Caenorhabditis elegans: one gene and its partners. The protein of the gene in region 3 purifies or fractionates together with the protein of the main gene of each other region. This does not show direct contact. Each region holds a gene or a part of one and is shown on either strand. Other genes may lie near its edges.

Evidence for each region. The genes of interacting proteins can lie anywhere in the genome.
Region 1: the proteins of scl-2 (region 3) and F08F3.4 fractionate together in Caenorhabditis elegans (co-fractionation; one large-scale study listed by BioGRID). This does not show direct contact.
Region 2: the proteins of scl-2 (region 3) and nex-3 fractionate together in Caenorhabditis elegans (co-fractionation; one large-scale study listed by BioGRID). This does not show direct contact.

The regions. Positions count from the first base shown.
Region 1 is NC_003283.11:5,407,940-5,414,112, reverse strand, and holds F08F3.4 (L-threonine 3-dehydrogenase, mitochondrial), read right to left. Parts: upstream 3,159-6,173; 5' UTR 3,000-3,158; coding exon 2,756-2,999; intron 2,698-2,755; coding exon 2,520-2,697; intron 2,471-2,519; coding exon 2,238-2,470; intron 1,674-2,237; coding exon 1,404-1,673; intron 1,322-1,403; coding exon 1,170-1,321; 3' UTR 1,112-1,169; downstream 1-1,111. Other genes in the region: F08F3.10 (uncharacterized protein), read right to left, coding at 230-355, 404-489, 693-702; C25A6.1 (Serine/threonine-protein phosphatase), read right to left, coding at 4,042-4,122, 4,170-4,247, 4,298-4,438, 4,484-4,557, 4,604-4,679, 4,750-4,878, 5,262-5,585; dmsr-7 (G-protein coupled receptors family 1 profile domain-containing protein), read right to left, coding at 5,915-6,029, 6,080-6,154.
Region 2 is NC_003281.10:4,439,074-4,445,348, reverse strand, and holds nex-3 (Annexin), read right to left. Parts: upstream 3,269-6,275; 5' UTR 3,257-3,268; coding exon 3,215-3,256; intron 3,172-3,214; coding exon 3,073-3,171; intron 3,002-3,072; coding exon 2,781-3,001; intron 2,345-2,780; coding exon 1,942-2,344; intron 1,617-1,941; coding exon 1,503-1,616; intron 1,305-1,502; coding exon 1,230-1,304; 3' UTR 1,112-1,229; downstream 1-1,111. Other genes in the region: C28A5.2 (REJ domain-containing protein), read left to right, coding at 5,806-5,859, 5,909-6,046, 6,092-6,157, 6,205-6,275.
Region 3 is NC_003282.8:13,054,799-13,060,188, reverse strand, and holds scl-2 (SCP domain-containing protein), read right to left. Parts: upstream 2,480-5,390; 5' UTR 2,468-2,479; coding exon 2,294-2,467; intron 2,243-2,293; coding exon 2,105-2,242; intron 1,935-2,104; coding exon 1,723-1,934; intron 1,291-1,722; coding exon 1,191-1,290; 3' UTR 1,127-1,190; downstream 1-1,126. Other genes in the region: scl-3 (SCP domain-containing protein), read right to left, coding at 1-88, 331-467, 519-561; scl-1 (SCP domain-containing protein), read right to left, coding at 2,928-3,027, 3,083-3,300, 3,348-3,485, 3,631-3,798; F49E11.7 (Serine/threonine-protein phosphatase), read right to left, coding at 5,035-5,280, 5,333-5,390.

The DNA.
Region 1 (6,173 bases), on a different chromosome or scaffold from region 3:
GCTCGAATTTTAGCGAAAATCCATTTAGTTAAGCCAGAAAACGTTTTTCCTTTTTTAGCCCTTTTTATTTTTTAAAAATTGAAAAATCATAAAAACATTTTTGGAAAATTATTTATTCAATTTTTTGGCAATTGTATTTGCCCATTACGGTCCATTTTCTATGGTTTAAATCAGAATACCGAATTGCTTTTCTCCACTTTTGAAGTTAAATATTTGAAAAAAAACTTACTGCAAACGTCAATTTATAAATAAACAATTTCTCATGCCATTCTGTTTTGACCAAAAGTAATACTCCAAGCGTGATTCCAATTATTGAGGTAGCAATACTGATCCCACAATGTATGTAAACCCAGGTCTGAAAAATTAAATTTTCTGAAGCAAAAAAATAAATTGCAAGCCAAACCTGAATACGGAGCCTAAAACAAGTCTGCTTTTTTTCATTTTCTGAAAAGTTTCCAAAAGGACCTTGAATGTTTAAATATGGATTTCCTGAAAACAAAAATTTTGAACGTAAATTATGGAAATTGTGTATGAAAATATGTCTCAATTAGTTGCTCTAATTGGTTTGGTTTGTAAAAAACGTTTTAAAAGTAAGAACCCAAGAATTTTAAATTTAGACTAAATTATTTGCTTTTTAGAAATAAAAAAACATTTTTATATTTTGATATATAAAATATATGTGTGAAACTTACCTGAAATCATTTTTGTTGTAAATTATGATTCCCAGCTACAACCTTCAAAGCAGAAACAAAACGAAGAGTGGAGCAGAGAATGTTGAGCTCAGTTGACAACTGTTACACCATCATTTCATTTCAATCACATTGTTGTTTCTCACTCTAATTCTCAACCTTATGTATCACTAACATCTAATAAATTTTATTCGATTTTCGCATATTCTTTCATCTCAACTGATGTTTCTGAATAATCAAGTGTCAATTTTTAAATTGCTGACAAAAATACAACCGTGTTCATGAATTGCACTCTAATTCTTCTCATAACCCCACAGTTAACTGAAATGCTGTTCAAATGACCACTTGCTTTTGTGTCATACACCCATTTTGCACCCATTGATACTTTCTATCCGTTCCAAGTGTAAACTTTTCTCTCTATCACTTTTATTTTTGCAACAAGTAGATCAAATGATTTATTAATGCCTAAATAACCAGTTTTTATGCAGTACTGACAATCTTTGTAGGTTTGTCTTCTTCTCTTCGCAGCAATGCGAACATCACTTGAACAGTTTCATCGAGACCATATTCTGGATTCCATCCCCAATCCTTACGTGCTTCACTGTCATCCAATGACATAGGCCATGAATCGGCTGAAAAAAATTATTTTAGTTTTTTTAAAAGAGGTATTTCTTTTTGCAAGTCCACTTGCAAAAATGATCATATATCACCTACCAATAGACTGCCTTGTTGGACAGATATCGTAATCAATCTCGAAACCTGGCATCACTCTTCGAATTGCATCAGCAATTTCCTCTGGTGTGAATGAGAATCCCGTTACATTGTATGTTCGCCTCTTCAATGATTGACTGTCAGCAGCCAAAAGTTGAATGACTGAAGCCATACAATCAGTGTCGTACATCATTGGAAGACGTGTGTCTGGTCGAAGGTAGCAGGTGTGCTTGCCTTTTTGAAGAGCGTCGTAGAAAATTTGGATTGCGTAGTCTGAAAGGAGGATAGTTTTGACTGTGTACGTGAGAAATATTCTTTTCAAAAATGTATCAACTGATCAACTTTGACCACTTTTTGATACCGTTTGTCTGCAAGGAAATTATCTCTAATCGTGTTACAAAACCTTTCTAATTGAAAAGGTCGTATCAAAAATTAGTTGGGAAGTAATTCGAAACCATTCATATAGGGCTAAAAGGACCAAATTTCATAGTAAAACTTTTCCAAAAGTTTTTGGAAAATTTTTATTGCCAGTCAGAAAGTGGCAATTACTGAGTTTTGCCATTTTTCAAAAAAAAAAAATCTAAAACATTGTTGCATGTTCAAATCCCAATGTTGAACTATGAACATTTTCAACATAATCAAACAGCTGTAAGAAATTTTTTTCTGATTTTTTAATCGACGACTTGCAAAAGATAGGTGAAAACTGAGATTTCACCTTTTCAAATTTTTTTCTCTAAGTTTTATTATAATATTTGGTCATTTTAGAATTGACCGTACTTCATCTTTAAAGGAAAAAAGTTTCAAATTCTCGTTTAATTATTATATAATTTTACTCACCAGTAGTTCCACCACCTGGCTTTGTCGCTGAGATAATACCCGGGAATCTCATGCTTCTGAAATCAACCCCAAACCGATGATTGAAATATTCTCCGAGACGTTCTGCATATACTTTACTGACTCCATAAATGGTTGTAGGACATTGTACTGTAAGATCTGGAGTGTTTTCTCTTGGAGTTGTTGGTCCAAAAGCTCCAATTGTGGATGGAATGAACACTTTTAGCTTATGTTTTCTGAAACAATACAATGTCAAGATATAGTCCAATACAAGTAGGAACTTACGCAGCAACTTGCAAAATGTTCTCAACTCCTCTACAATTCACTTGCAGAGCCAACGGAACATTTGTTTCTCCAACAGCTGATAGAAGTGCAGAGAAATGAACAATTGTGTCGATGTTTTTGTTAACAACGATTTCTTCAATAGATCCTTGATTCAAAATATCCAGGTAATTGTAGTCGGCTAAAATACACAATAAATTAATTTTCTGTTGAAAATATGGAAAGCAGTTTCAACTTACAAACATCTGTAGCATTTGCAGGAAGACGAACAATATCACTCATAACAACGCATTCAGATCCATACATGTACTTGTAGACTGAATTTAAACCTCTTCCAAGCTGCCCAAGAGATCCAGTGATTAAAACTCGAGGAGCTTTTTGTGTTTGACTGATTGTTTTAAACCGTAATAAAGGATCAACTGGTAAAGGTGAATAGTTTCTTCTGGCATTGTGAATTCTTCCAAAAACTCGCAAGTTTTTCATTTTTTGTGTGACACGGAAGCAGACGAAGAACAGTTGATAATCAAAAAAGTTAACAGTTAGAAAAATGAGTAATCAAATCAAGTGTAGTTATGTGGGAATTTTCTTAAAAGAGGAACCAGTGAGGTCGCCTGATCAGAGACTTAGACATCGACGCCTTCTGATTTCAACGAAATGGGTGGAGGGTTGATCTTATAACTTGATGACGACGACGACGAAGACATACACTCATTTGTCCTCTTCCCACACGTGGTCATTGTCTAATTCAATTATCACGCAATTTGACGGATGCTGCCTGCTGAAGGCCTGTCCCCCCCCCCCCCCCAATTGCTAGAGAGACGAATCAAAGATAAGTATGTACCTTTTTTGTTCCCAACGCATACCTAGAGACAAACACGTGTTTCGTTAAAAAGTTACTTTGGGATACAGTTTTGGTACGGATGTACTCAGATTGTTCAGATTTTAAAGATTTTCGTAGGCTTTTTTGAAAAAATTATAAGAGTAAGTAGAGTGACTAATAGTAGTGTGACTGACTAGATGCCACGTGGGATGATATAATAACAAGCGTGACTGTATGATTAAAAGTCTAACATATGACACCCGTCTTGCCTTGGCTGGACTATCCGAATTAGAAATTTCAGCTAGTCACGATGATTGAAAAATGTAGGATCTGAAGCCAATATAACTAATTGAGGTCTCTCAAAATATTAATAAATTCAATTTTTTGGATAAAAAGATCAAAACATAGACTGGTAAGATTGAAAAATCAGTTAAAAATTTAAAGTGTTGTGGTATTCTAGTTTTGGGATAACTGTTGGGATCACCACTGTTAAGATCTCCACTGCAATATTTCTCTCAAAAAAGACGGGAAGTTGGTGAAAATTTCTACCGGAAAGGTGTCGTTGTTTGTCAAGCTGGCTGGGCAGGTTGTTGGCCAAATTTCAAATATTACTTTTAAACATTAAATTATTATTTTACAAATAATATCAAAACCACATTTATTTGTCTATTCATTTATTGAAGGAAATTATGAATCAGCCATCCATCAGTTTGTTTCATCCTTGAGCAATGGTTTCTCGCGAACTTCAAGGCGGCCACTCGTTGGACGGAGAATTTCGAACGAGCACTGTAAGAATGCACATTTATTACAACATTTCAATTAAAAATTTTTACCTGAAGCTTCTCGTCGCAAGACATGAAGGCAGCACAGTTGTCGAATTGACCACAGTAATGAGGAGCCGAGAAGATTGTCTAAAAATTTTTAATGTTCCTTTCTCTCGGCACTTTTTTTTTACTCATACCACCAATTTCCGACCAGCAAAGAACTCATAACCGTCTTGAACAACTTGATGGGCACGACAGATCAGGTCAAGCTTAAAATCGGAGCACACTTTCAGAACAGCATCTCTTCCGAATCCACACCCGGCACCTCGGTTGTTTTCCTGAATAAAGTTGATGAAATCGATCTTTTCTTATCAGAAAGTTACCATAAACCCAGAAAGACCACTAATAGGATCGGCCCACAAAAGATCAGCTACCAGTCTCTCCTTGCCGTCATGGCCTATTAATTTTTCTCAGGTTGTCCAAAGTGAAATCCTTTGACATACTAGGCGATAGTCCTCCGTGCATGCACAAGATCTTATTAGCAATGAGTCCGCAGAGTGGAAGCCAATTGAATACGTCCTGAAAGTACCGTTTTTCCTGTATTAATATTGCACCTTATTGTTCAATTTTGGTAAAAAATCAAATTTACCTGGAAAGCCGTGAACATGCGAACACTTTGATAGCGTTTCTGACACTCTTCATAGAATCCATATACCTTGTTGACAAACTCGCACTCATGGTTTCCACGCAACAAGAATAAATTGCCCGGGAATTTCACCTGGAATCATGACTTGAAAAATGTTTCAAAGAAGTTCACGCCATGGGATTTGGAAGATCGGGAGAGAGAAATAAACGTCCAAAAGATCCATCACTCCAGTTGACGTCATTTTTCAAATTTGACAGCTCATCGGAGCAGCATCAACTTTCTGTCACTTTGATACTTGAGAGATGCGCACTTTTTTGCAGAGCAATATGTGATGGACAATAAATATGTTTCTTTTTGAAAACACATTTATTTATCACATGTGTACGCTTATTTTGGAAAATCTAAGCGGTCTCTGCAAAAATCCCCTGTTTTGGCATTCTTTGTGTCAATGATTAATTCTGGCGCGTCACAATTTTTGATCCTAGCTTCTTTTTGCAAAACTTAAAGCAACAAACCTTATAAGCGAGAAGAAGAACAATGGTTTCAATGCTAAATCTTCCACGGTCCACATAGTCACCAAGGAATAAATAATTCGCAGTCGGCGGCCATCCACCACGATGGAAGAGACGAAGAAGATCCGGGAATTGTCCATGGATGTCACCGCACACCTTTATCGGAGCATTCATTTCAACCATTGATTTCTGTCTTTTAAATACATCCAGTGCCAAATCGAGAAGCTTTAGAACTCGTCCTTCCGTGATCACTTCGGAAAGTAGCTTTTCGTGAGTACTAGCGCTCAGGACATCAATTATTATGTTGTCAACGACGTCGTCTTTCATAATCTAAAACATCAAACCTTTTTAACTTTTGATTCCTGGAAGAGAAAAAGAGAACTCACCTTTCGGAAATCACTTTCAATTGAAAATAATTTTTTTTCCTAGTTTTACTCACATCTACGTGTCTTTTTGTAAACAATTTTTTTTTCACGGCGCCGTGAATAATTTAATAATTTTGTAAACCATATTGATTTATATAAAAACTGAATTAATAAAAAACAAAAAGTACCCGTAACAAGAATAGAATAGAAAATGCGAAAGCTATGAAAATGAGCAAGATATCACAAAAAATCTGCAAAGGGAATTTGTACCGAGATCGAAAAAATTGGAATTTAAAGTTGATGTTCTCTACTGCTGTTCTGATTGTCCGACACGGAAGCTTCATACCGCCAATACTCATTGCGTGCTGGTTCCGGTTCAGTTGCCAGTGGCGTATAGCTTTGTTTTCTGCAAATTAAAGATAATATTTTCCAGACTTCAAAAACAAATTAACTGACCTTCCTAGTCGTAAGCTGTTGTTCAACTGAAGCTGTGAAAGTTCCGTCGGAGAACCACGACGGGTCGTCCACAATCTGAGAGGAAAAATTTTAT
Region 2 (6,275 bases), on a different chromosome or scaffold from region 3:
TTTTTTTTGTTCAAATGCTAGCTTTTTTTAAATCATGATTCTTTAAACAATTTTATTATAAATTTTTTATGCCAAATAATTTTCTAAAAATTAACACTTTGAAATTCCCGAACAAAAATGTTTTTTGAAAAGTTAAAAATTTGAATTTTTCGTCTAAAGTTGTTTAAACTAAAGTTATAATTTTAACGCTTAAAAATTTTCAATTTTTGCGATTTTTAAAATTTTAAACTCTAACTTTTATGTTGAAAAAAAACGCCGACAAGACACGACAGGCAGGCAGGTAGGCGCCAGGATCCTGCCTGCCTGTCACAAATTCCAAAATTTCAACACTAAATTTCATTGACATTTTCTCAATAAATCACTCATCAGTCTGTTTTCACATACCGCCCGTTCCTCTCATCAAAAGGGGTTTTTCCATCATTTCAACGTGTGTGTGTCGGCGGTGAAATGGCGGAATCGACGGAACGGCGCCTGAATTACGGTGGGAAAAGGGAGGAAATTCAACCCCACCATGACCTCTTCTTCCCCGACAAGACATAGAGAGATGGTTTGAATTATTGCAAAATAGAGCCTGAATGAATAGGAATCGAATGCCGATGAACGAGGAACACGCCAATTTTCGATCCATGTGAGGGTCACTATGAAGAACAAAAGAAATGGAATCTAAAAGGAAACGGAAAAGGCGTCGGGAGGGGACCTTATGGATAATTATAGTCTGCAGTTTTGCTACATAACAAATTTTTGAATTTGATTCAAGGGGAGAATCTTAAAAAGATCAAGAGTTCGTGATGAAACAGAGAATGGCCAAAATTATGGACTGGCACATTAATTGAAACATTGTTCTACAGTGAAATAAATATTTTTCTGCATTTAGTTTAACAGACTTTTAAATGAGTCTAATCAGAAATTCTATAGAAAAATATTTCGATTAATAATCGGGGTTTTGAGGTACAATTGCTTCAGGTCCTGTTCTGTTCTAACCGACTCGGGAGATGTCAGCTGCTCGAAAATCATAAGAAATTTATAATGGGATGTTGACCAGCATTGAACGTGGGACATGTAATGCTAATTTTCAAGAAAACTTTGTGAGCACTTTTTGGAATTGTCGCTTGTCATTTTTCAAACTTTTATTAAAATAAAAACGTTTAGAAATAGATTTTATAAAGTAGTTTCAATGTAAAGCAATTTCAAACAGAAAGCATTTTAATCGATAGTTTGTATTTCATTTTCTAAGGTCTTGGATTTCCCTTGACAAGCATCGTCAAACCATCACGGTATTCTGCCTTGCACTCCTCCTTGATTAGCTGCAATTTTATGAAATTTATAAAGAGAAACCAATATGGTTTTCTATAGAAAATATTACGAACATCGCTCTGGGGATCTTAAATAGAAATTTGTATTTTGAACTGTATTTGGAAATATCAACATATTTTTTGTTCTATTTTCAGTACACATTTTGGCGTAAACGTTGCAGGTAATATCAGTCTACTTGATAGGCTCACCTGAGTCAATGGTTTTCCAAAAAGAGTTTGAAATTCGTGTTCAATGATCACCAAATCATTTTCCGATCGGGATACCAGAATACGAATAAGATCCTTGTCACGTGTTCCCATTCCCTGAAAACATGAATATTTCCTGAACTTTGAGGGTTTTTATCTAGAATGTTTTTAGCGTTACCAGCTTTAGTTTAACTCTTTTCCTATATCTTCATAGTTGATTAATTTTATCTAAAGCCTTACGCCTACACGCGTGCCTACTACATTGCTTACTTCTGTGCCTACTTCCGTGCCTACGTAGGAAGTTAAGCACGATATGTGTGTAGACTTGTGAAAGTTCCTACATGTAACAAAAAGATAAATGTTTAAATCAAATCAGGAAATTTTTGTCATTTACCTAAAGTCAAATTTCTCTGAACTAAGATTTCAAATATCTTGCACCTACCTTGGTTGCCAAATGAATCGAATTTGCAAAATATCGAGGCTTATTTCTCGAAGTCTCAATAAGAGACAACACCAAATTCTTGAAATCTCCGCTGAGCTCCTTGTCAATAAGTTTCTGGAACTCTTTTCCAGATTGTCTCTCGACTTCTTCAATAACTTTTTGAATATGAGCTCCATTGCATGTTGCAAAGATCTTGAACGCATCGAATTTTTCGACTCCAGACTTTTTGTCAAAACTTTTCAGAATTTGAGCAGCGTGAGGCCCAACTTTGAATGTATCAGCGAATCCACCTTCTTCGCGTTTTGCTTGGAGAATGACAATGAGAAGACGCCGGAAGTCTCCAGAAGTATCAGCAGAAATTGCATCTTCCAATGATTTGGAGTAAGTCATGAAGTAAGTGTTTCTAGAAAAAACATATGTTGATATTAATTTTTTTAAGGACATTTTCTAGAAAACAACTTTAAAATTATCATTGGGTTCGTTTTCGGGAGACCTAACTAGCTTTCAAAAGCCTACGCACAGGAATTACGACTGATTCATACTTTTGAAATCTCCGCCTTTCTGCGTGCCTACGTTATACCTTGCTTCGGGACCTACATCAAGACTGTCTGCCTATGCCTTATTCATAACCATAGTGCTGTCTGGGTTATGTTTGTCTACCCACGGACCTACCTTATGCCTGCCTAAGTGCCTACTCTGCACCAAATCGCTGCCTACCTATGTGTTTTCACGTTCCCGCCTGATGTCTATACCATGCCTACTTCCCAATTGTTTCTGTTGTTGTAAAATTTAGTTTTGACTTCAAGCTTCTAATTTCGAAAAACTTTTTAAAAACTAACTTCGCCGCTTCAATTTCCTCGTTAGTCCTAGTTGTCAGAATTTCGATCAAATTTTTCTCATTTGTTCCAAGACCCTTCACAGATCGATTCAGCTCAGTCACGTCTAGTTTAGTAGGAGTTTGAAGTAGAGCAACGAGAAAATCTTCGAAATCTCCAGAAAATGCTTTTTTGATTTCATCTTCCAAATCCTTTCCGTAACGAGTTTTGTAGGGTGTGCGGATCTGGAAATATGGAGCTTTTAGACATAGGCAGGTGAGTAGGCAGGCATGCCTACCTACCATTAAAATCTTACCATCTGTCTCTGTGTATTATTAACCGAAACCAAGATTTCCAAAATCTTCAGTTTCTCCTTGTTTCTAAGAGCCTTCTCTAGTTGCTCCGAGGCGGCAACCTACAATTTTCGGCTTAACTTTACTAGTTTCCCACAGGCTTACCTCATCAAAATACGGCTTGAAATGGATCTTTGCAGTTGCCATTATGTCGGTTTTCTAGAACTTTGAGGTATATATTTCAGGTAGACTTTTTGAGGTATTTGGATAATGGGAGAATTGAATGTGGTAAAGAATTTTGCACTTTTGGATCAGGGATTACACGACAGTTCAATATAGTACAAAGAAAAAGTGAACCGAATTTGCTTGTAAAATATGATGTATCAAGTATGTGTGAACACGGCCAATGCATCAAATTTTATGAGCAAATCTATAGAATGTGGGAAGTGCAGTACTTTCTGAATGCTTTATTGATAGCGTTTCAGATTTATTTTTTTTAGGATTTTTAAAGTAAATATTTTAATTTTCCTAAAACGCCTAATAGCTCCCTATGAGGCTGGCAGAATTCAAGATTCTCGTAATTTCGCAGTTGGATAATATTTTTTATTTATTTTCTTCGTAGGGAAGTTTCAAGTATTACGTCCACCAATGAGTGTAAATATTTGTGAAACATTGAAAAGAAGTCTGCAAAATAGTGGAAAATTGACGTCAGTTCATCTTTGATTCCTACTTTTTAAACGGAAATAAAATTAAATTGAAAGAGATTCATAACTGGTTATGCTTCGAAAATAAGGCAGAAATATATTGAGAACGAAATAACTGCGATGAGTCATTTGAAACTGTCTGAACACTTTTATTGTCCACAAAAATAGGGAGTGGTTTTTCGAAAAAGAGACCTTCGAAAAGAAAAGAGATGTGATGATGAGTCAGTGGAATTTTAGAAAAGAAATTTTGAAATACTTTTGATTTCGAAATTAAATAGAATTTTTGGGGAAACTTTCCTAACTTTGACAATTAGAAAATTTAACAATTTTGCTACAAAAAAAATTATAGCTTATTATTTGTCATTGGTATTTTTTAAGGTATTCTGGGAAATTCAAACATTTTCGTTATTTTTCTAGAATTTTGCGTGAAAAATGATGAAAAATTAAAATTAAAATTGAATCAAAAACCGTTTTCTTCCCACTATATCATGTCACTATATCATGCACTTCTTAACTTAATTTTAAAATTAAAAAGAAATATTAAAAGCAACAGAAAAGTGGAAAAAACTTGAATTTACGGTTTTACCTAACGAGACCCAATGTTTAGGGGCGGAGCGTTTAAAATTGGCGTTGGGGCGAGATTGATTTTCGATTTCGAAAGGCGTTTTTTGCGTCCCCCTAATATGACTTTTGATTTTTTTTTTTTGCAAAATAGATTCTTGCACGAAAATTTTCGGGAATATTGTTACAGAACACTTGTGAGGAAATTTGAATGTTTCACTATCACATTATTCACGAAAATTGACAGAAATATAAAGGTCTGAGAATATTATGAAAACTTATTATTTAAAATTCTGCTCAAAAATCGCAAAATAAATGCTCTGCGGATATATTGAAATTCCAAGTTCTATAAAATTGCAAAAACTTGTGAAATACCTGCCCAAATGCGAACAGATCATCATTTTCGTGTCTTTTCAAAAAGGTTGGCAGACACTTTGAAAGAGAAAGTGAGGATATTCGGAACGAATTCAATTGAAATGGTCACGGTTGAAAAGGAATTATACATTATTGATGCTAGTTAGGATATGTATAGGCTTCTATTGTGAATTACAATTGAGATCAATTTAGAGAAAATATTCTTCAAAAATATCGTATATAAATGTTGAAAAATAGAAGAACAAACTGTCTCAATATCTCAAATGTTAACTAAACAAGCAAAAGTTCTCGTTTTTTTTTTCTGCAAAGAGTCATCGAAAACTATAATAAAAAATGGGAAGAAAGAATGAGGAAATGTGTTTGTAAATAAAAAAAGAATTGGGAGAAAGTTCAAACAAATAGACATTCGAATCGTTTGTTTAAACTTCTTGAGTTTGTCCTTGTTTGATGGTGGAGTACTGTCAATGGGAGATTTTAGCAAGAGTGGAAAAATCACCAAAATCTGGGATTTTTTAAACTTAATGTCATTATTACATTTTTCTTTAAAGCAGGAGTATCGCCTGTGGGGAAATAGTCAAAAACTACATATATAGTGGCAAAAGGACCAAATATCATGGAAAAACTTTGGAAGCAGCTGGAAAGTGAGAACTGAGAAGTTTCAGACCAACTCCGCCCTTTTTTCTTTGAATTTGCTTAGGTTCGCAAAAACTTGAAATTAGCATCAAAATGTTTTATGGCTTATTTCTGTACAGTTCAAAATTCGACATATCATCGTCTACACCAAACGAACAAGTCTTCACAACAATTTTAATTCCACCGTTGTAGGCCTGAAAATTTCAATCCGGTTACAGTCACACTTAAAGGTGCATGCATGTCGGTTCACAGGTCTCACCACGCCACCAGTGCATGCCTGCTCGGTCCAAACGGAGATTTTCCCATTTTTCGCTTTCATTTAGCTAATTTTTTTGTTAAAAAGTGATTTCTAAATTTGAAAATAGTGAAATTCGGTTAAATCTTCAGCGTAAAGTGTTCAGATTTGCTTTGGACTTCTTTAAAACATTTTTAATTCAGATTTACGAGTTTCTGTGACTTGCCGATGATTATCACCGCAAAACAATGCATTTTTATAAATACGGCGTTTTGATTGATCAGCTCAGAGATTCGTTTGAGGTATTTTCTTTAATTATTTTTAATTAGTTCGTAAAATCATTATTTTCAGTGGAGAGTCGCATTCTTGGATGGATCTGTCAGTGATCATTGTTGCATCACCGTTCCTTCGGAAAAGTTTAACTTTCCGCCGACTCCAGGAGCAACTGTTAAAGCCAAATTTGAACACGCGAACAGCTTTTTGCCATCGGTATCATATTAATTATGAGTAACTTTCTCAATTTAAAATGTTCAGCTTGTCGCACAATGTGGCAGTTTTGAATGGTTTCGTGATGTAACGGTGGTGAATTCCAAAGTTGTGGTATGAAAATCGAATTATTTTACCATTTTACAATCAACTTGTTTCAGATCTTCGCTATTGTGCACTTCTCAAATGAATGTCTAGAAAGAGATCCATTTAAAATAAATGGAATGGATTA
Region 3 (5,390 bases):
TCTCTCCAACTCCAGCTGCATTGGAGTGACCTCTCGGGCAAGTGTTAGCAAAAGTTTGAGCAGCGGTGGCCAATGTGGTGTCCCACTTCTGAAATGGTATTGGAGGTATAAGGAGTGAGTAGTAGGCGATAGTAGGCGAGGTCTAAGAAGTCTACGCCAGCTCTACATCAGACCCTTTAATTAACTCCAGATCAAGTGCTCCCAGATCTGTAGAGAAGCCGACTGAAACTTTAGAAAATGCTCTGAAGAGCACTTGAACCTAGCAAAGACCTTCAACTGAAGGTTCCATTCATTGGAAAATCACAAAGTAACTAACTGCCGAAAACCTACCATTTTCAAAAGATTACTACCAGCTGCTTTTGTTGTCCCTTTAGCCACATATGTTCCCTTGGCAATTGAAGTACGAAGCTTATTATGAAGGTCCACAATGAATTGTTGAGTGCTTTCTCTGAATTGAGCATAAGCTCCTGAAAAATTGAAGAAAATTAGTTTCAAAAATTTCCAAAAAAAAAACTTACCAATCTGAAGGGTAACCAAAACGAGAAGAGTAAAGGTGTGCATGTTGTCTGTTGAAAATACAACTAGTAGGTTGGATATTTATAGGAGATTTTAGTTTGTATGAACAACTGGATGTCGTCGTCGCCGTGAGGGAAACTAAAAGTCATGGGAAGAGGGAAAAAACTAAAGAACGTGTGCTTTAATAGAAATAGACTAAATTGGTAAGAGTTTTATGTTGACATTGTTTGTTTTATATACAAAAGGGAGGCTGAAGTTGGATTTCATTTTTTGAAATTTCACACAGTAGATAGTAACAATACAGACATACGGTAATTTTTTGAAATTCATGGAAGTCAGAAACGGAAAAATAAAAACGTTTTCAAGCTGTTAACTTTCAACTAAATCACCAACATCTTTGAAAATACATACAAGATATCGTAGTCAAAAAACCTATAGCTTGAACTTTTTTCATAACTTAGATACATCTCTAGACACAAGTAGTCTTTGACCTCCCAATAAAGTTCTAACTGCTCATTATACTCCAAATCTGCCAATAGGATTTCGAACACGTAATCGTCGCATTTGTTACATAGGCATTTTGATCAAAGGTTGTTTGTGTTCTGGTTTTCAACTAGCACACAATTTTATTTATTATCTACAGAAAGTTTGAAAACACATTGCATTATTAAAGTTTAGACGCAGAGCCCTGTGGAAGTCTCACATGACGTTCCTGATGGACAGCCGGAACAGGTTGCTCCCGATACGTAGATGTATTGATTAATGAAGTTTCCTCTGAAAATTGATGTATTAGCAAACAGTAGCTTGTATTCAACAGGGCTCTCTCGCACATACACTTTTCAATTTTTTTTTATGTTAAAAATTTTGTCTCGGTTGAAATTAATTTTCCTAAAACTACTTTTTACTCTTCAGAAAAATCCTAACTCACAAAGTGTTCAAGACTACTTTACCAGTTGTCGAAGCACAGTTCACTTTTCGCCAACAACAATATTTTTCGTATTTTTGTATAATTTTTATTGGGTTTTTTGTTTTTAATGATCTCCTCAAAATGATCAAAATTTGTTGAAAATTGCCTAATTTTTTGGATTTTGTTTCAGGGAACGTGACCAAAAATTTATCTTTTTTGCAAACCTATCCTAGAGAACAACACAAAACACAACATTCGCAGACACAGTCAACATAGACTAGTCAACAAATCTCACTTACTGCGGCTTGTACTGGCACACGACGGTTACTTTGTTCAGGCCGTTTGAGTCTCTTCCACAATCCTTGACTCCACATCCGATCAGGTTGGATTTCGCCCACGCCATTTGAGTCGCGTGTCCGATTCCTGTGTTGAAGAGATCGATAGTCATAAGGTTAGACTTCCATCCGTAATCTTGGAATTCTTTTTCCCATGATGCCGACGCAGCAGATCCCTGAATGAAAAGATTGATTATAGAAATTTCAGAAACTTTTAAAATAAAGAAGGTATCAAGCGCCTGCCTCCTGCCTACTGCCAATATTCGCATGTTGTATTTAGGCAAAATTTGAACAAAATAGGCAGTAGGTCTAGGCAGGCAGGCACAAGGTAGACTAAATGACTGACATATTGATTGAGGTCTCCCAGAGATCCACTTGTCCAATACCAATACAAATTCTCCCCAAGGCCTGCATCTCCAGAGTGTCCCGTCGGACACCCGTTTGCGTAGTTTTGGGCGGATGCGGCGACTGCGGAATCCCATTTCTGAAAAGTTGAAATCAAAAATAAATCTGAGAACCTTAGTTATGTACATACCATTTTCAACAGATTTGTTCCCGGCGATTTCTGAGTTCCTTTTGCCACGTAGGTACCTTTTGCAATTTTAGACCGCAGAGTGTTATGTGCATTGATAATTCCGTTTTGTCCGGAAGAGCCGAAATCAGCGGAGCAGCCAACAGCAAGCGCCACAACCAGCAACAAGTAATTCATAATTGGAGAAAAAAGTGCAAGTCAACACGAATATGTTTATCACTGCGGTTCATTTTATAGGAGTCTTATCACGCGAAAACCTGTAAAATTGTATGATAATTGAGAAATCGTAAGCTACGTATGATCGGAAGTGGGCAGCACAAGACCAAAGAATTGACTTTTATCAGTAATTATGAACATTTGAGTCAAGTCAACAAGTATTCTGATTAGGAAGAAGTGAATTTTCTTCCTAATTTTGTTGTTGGCACATAGGCAAGTAGAATGTTTTACTTTTGCCTGCACTTGATGTTGTGTGCATTTTCGTAAATTTTAAAAAAGTTTGGTGTAATTTAAAGTTTTCGCTTTATTTTTTTTATATAATCACCAAGAAAAAACAAATGCTTCATTAGTAAATTAATTCCCAGATTAAAACAAAACAAATAAATTAAAAAATTACAGACACAAAAAGTGAAATCTCTCATTATCCGCAAAGCCCAGAAGCAGTGTCACATTTAGTAGATCCGGAACAGCTGGAACACGTAGTTCCTTCCTTATAAATCGGCCGTCCCATAGTGTTTCCTCTGAATATTTTTGAACAATTTTGAGTTAAAAAAAATCAAAAACTTCAGTGCTTACGGTGGACTATACTGGCAGACTACAGCTATTTTGTTCATATTTCTCATCGATGCGTCTCGTCCACAATTCTTGACTCCACACCCGATGGAGCTGGTGTTTGCCCAAGCCATTTGAGTAGCGTGTCCTATTCCACTGTTGAATAGGGTGGTATCCATTGCGTTAGACTTCCAGCCAAAGTCTTGGAATTCCTTTTCCCATGCGGCAGCGGCGATTTCTCCCTGGAAAGAATTATTGATTTCTGTCCCAGAAAAGTTATGCGACTCACATAGGAATCCAAGGATCCAACATCCGCAGAAGTCCAAGACCAATACAAATTTTCCCCATATCCAGTTCCCTTTGAGTGTCCAGTTGGGCACGTATTCGCATAATTCTGAGCCGACGCAGCTACGGTGGAATCCACGACCTGAAAAGTTTATTGAAGTATCATCATTGGGCTTTTTGTTCAAATATGATTGCCAAAAGTTACCCCAACTTGAATGACTTGAAACTCTTGAAAAAAGAAAACTTTAAGTTTTTTATTTGACATAATTGGGCAATTTAAAACCTACCATTTTCCTCATATCAGTTGCTGGTTCTTTTTTGGTTCCCTTCGCAACATAGGTACTCTTTGCAATAGCGGATCTCAATTTGTTATGAGCATCCACAATGCTTGATTGACCAGTTGAAGTGAATTGAGCATTGACACCAATTGCTAGGAGGCAGAGAATGAAGTACATGGCAAACAAAATTATGATTTAAAGTTGCAAACGTGCTGCTTTTTATGAGAGGAGTTTTTTAATCAAGTACGAGATTTTCAAATAACTTTTAATATTTGCAAAACGTAAACAACAACAATCTTTATTTTTGTCCATTGTAGAGAAAACTCATAAATGATCCAAACGATTTGGTCAATAACAACAACAAATTGAGCTTTTTACGGATATCAAAAAGATCAGCCGGACTGAAAATATTATGCTATCGGGCTTCAAACCCACACACTTTTCGACTCGGCAAATTTGGTAAATTTGCCGCCCACCCCTGGTTTGTACTCGAATAATTACTAGAGAATCAAGCAAAAAACTGGAACAAAACTTTATTAACAAAACTTTATACTTTGACAAAAAATATAGTAAGTACTGATTTCCTCATTAATATTAATAATTATAATAAACTAAATCGTAATTTATCTGTAATTTTAAATTTAACTTATTCAATATTCGCCGACTGGATTCTTACTTCAATCCAGGATTTACACTTGAGGACTTCAAATTGATGAAGTGTGAAGAACTGACAATATGGAACCATAGCTTTACTCCAGAATACTTGAATCATTTTATCCGTAATTGATTAAACGGAAACATGAAAGAATTGAGAAGATTCCACTTGGACCATGATTTCAAAATAAGAGATTGGGTAGTGGTGTTGAATGAAATAGTAGTTAGTCGATGGGACGAAGTACGCCGAGAAAAAGTATACAGGTATTAGTGGTAAAAAGGAAAAATGATTGTTCTTTGGCAAAAAAATTATTTATTTATTTATTTATTTCAAACAATGTGTAGGTCTGGCAACAAGTGAATAAATTTCTAATTTACTTAAAAATCTGTAGGGATGCTAAACTGACATAGGAAATACGGTATCAATTTCCAATTTCAGAATCGGTTTTCAAGAATTTGATTGTTCCGATGGTTGGGATATCGAAAGGGAAGATGGAACTATTGCTACTGTAGTTTTTGTGAAATCATCATTTGATTTTTTTGTTTGGTCTAAATGATTGGAGTCAGAAACAATTATACCGCACGTTTGAAAACGCTTGCATTGTTATTATCTTTCAAATAAAATATTTATTCATTTTAGTCATTCATTTTGTACTGAATTTTGTCAAAAAAAACCTGAAAATTCAAAAAATTCAAAATTTTTCTTACACTTTTCTTGCAAAAAATATTGGAAATTATACACAAACTATTAATTTCAGTCTAAATCTTTCCAAGAGAAAGCCCCTCTCCGCCCTTGCTTTTGCCGTTCGAGTGCGACGGCGACGACGACGACGATGTTTTCAAATGTTTGACTGGCATTGAACCCGACTTTTTTCTTTCCAAATTAGGAATATCATCTCCACGAGTGATTTCATCAGCTGAATTTGCATGAAGAAGTTTCTTATGACGAAAACGCCCAATATTCAGTTTTCCATCTGTCTCGACTCTCAATGTGGCGCCGTGATTCTGAAAATGCCATTTTACAGTTTCAGATGTGGTTTAACATCAGCAGACATACATCGGTTTCATTCATGTAACGCGGAGCCGAGAATATCGTGAGAAGTTTCTGATCAGCA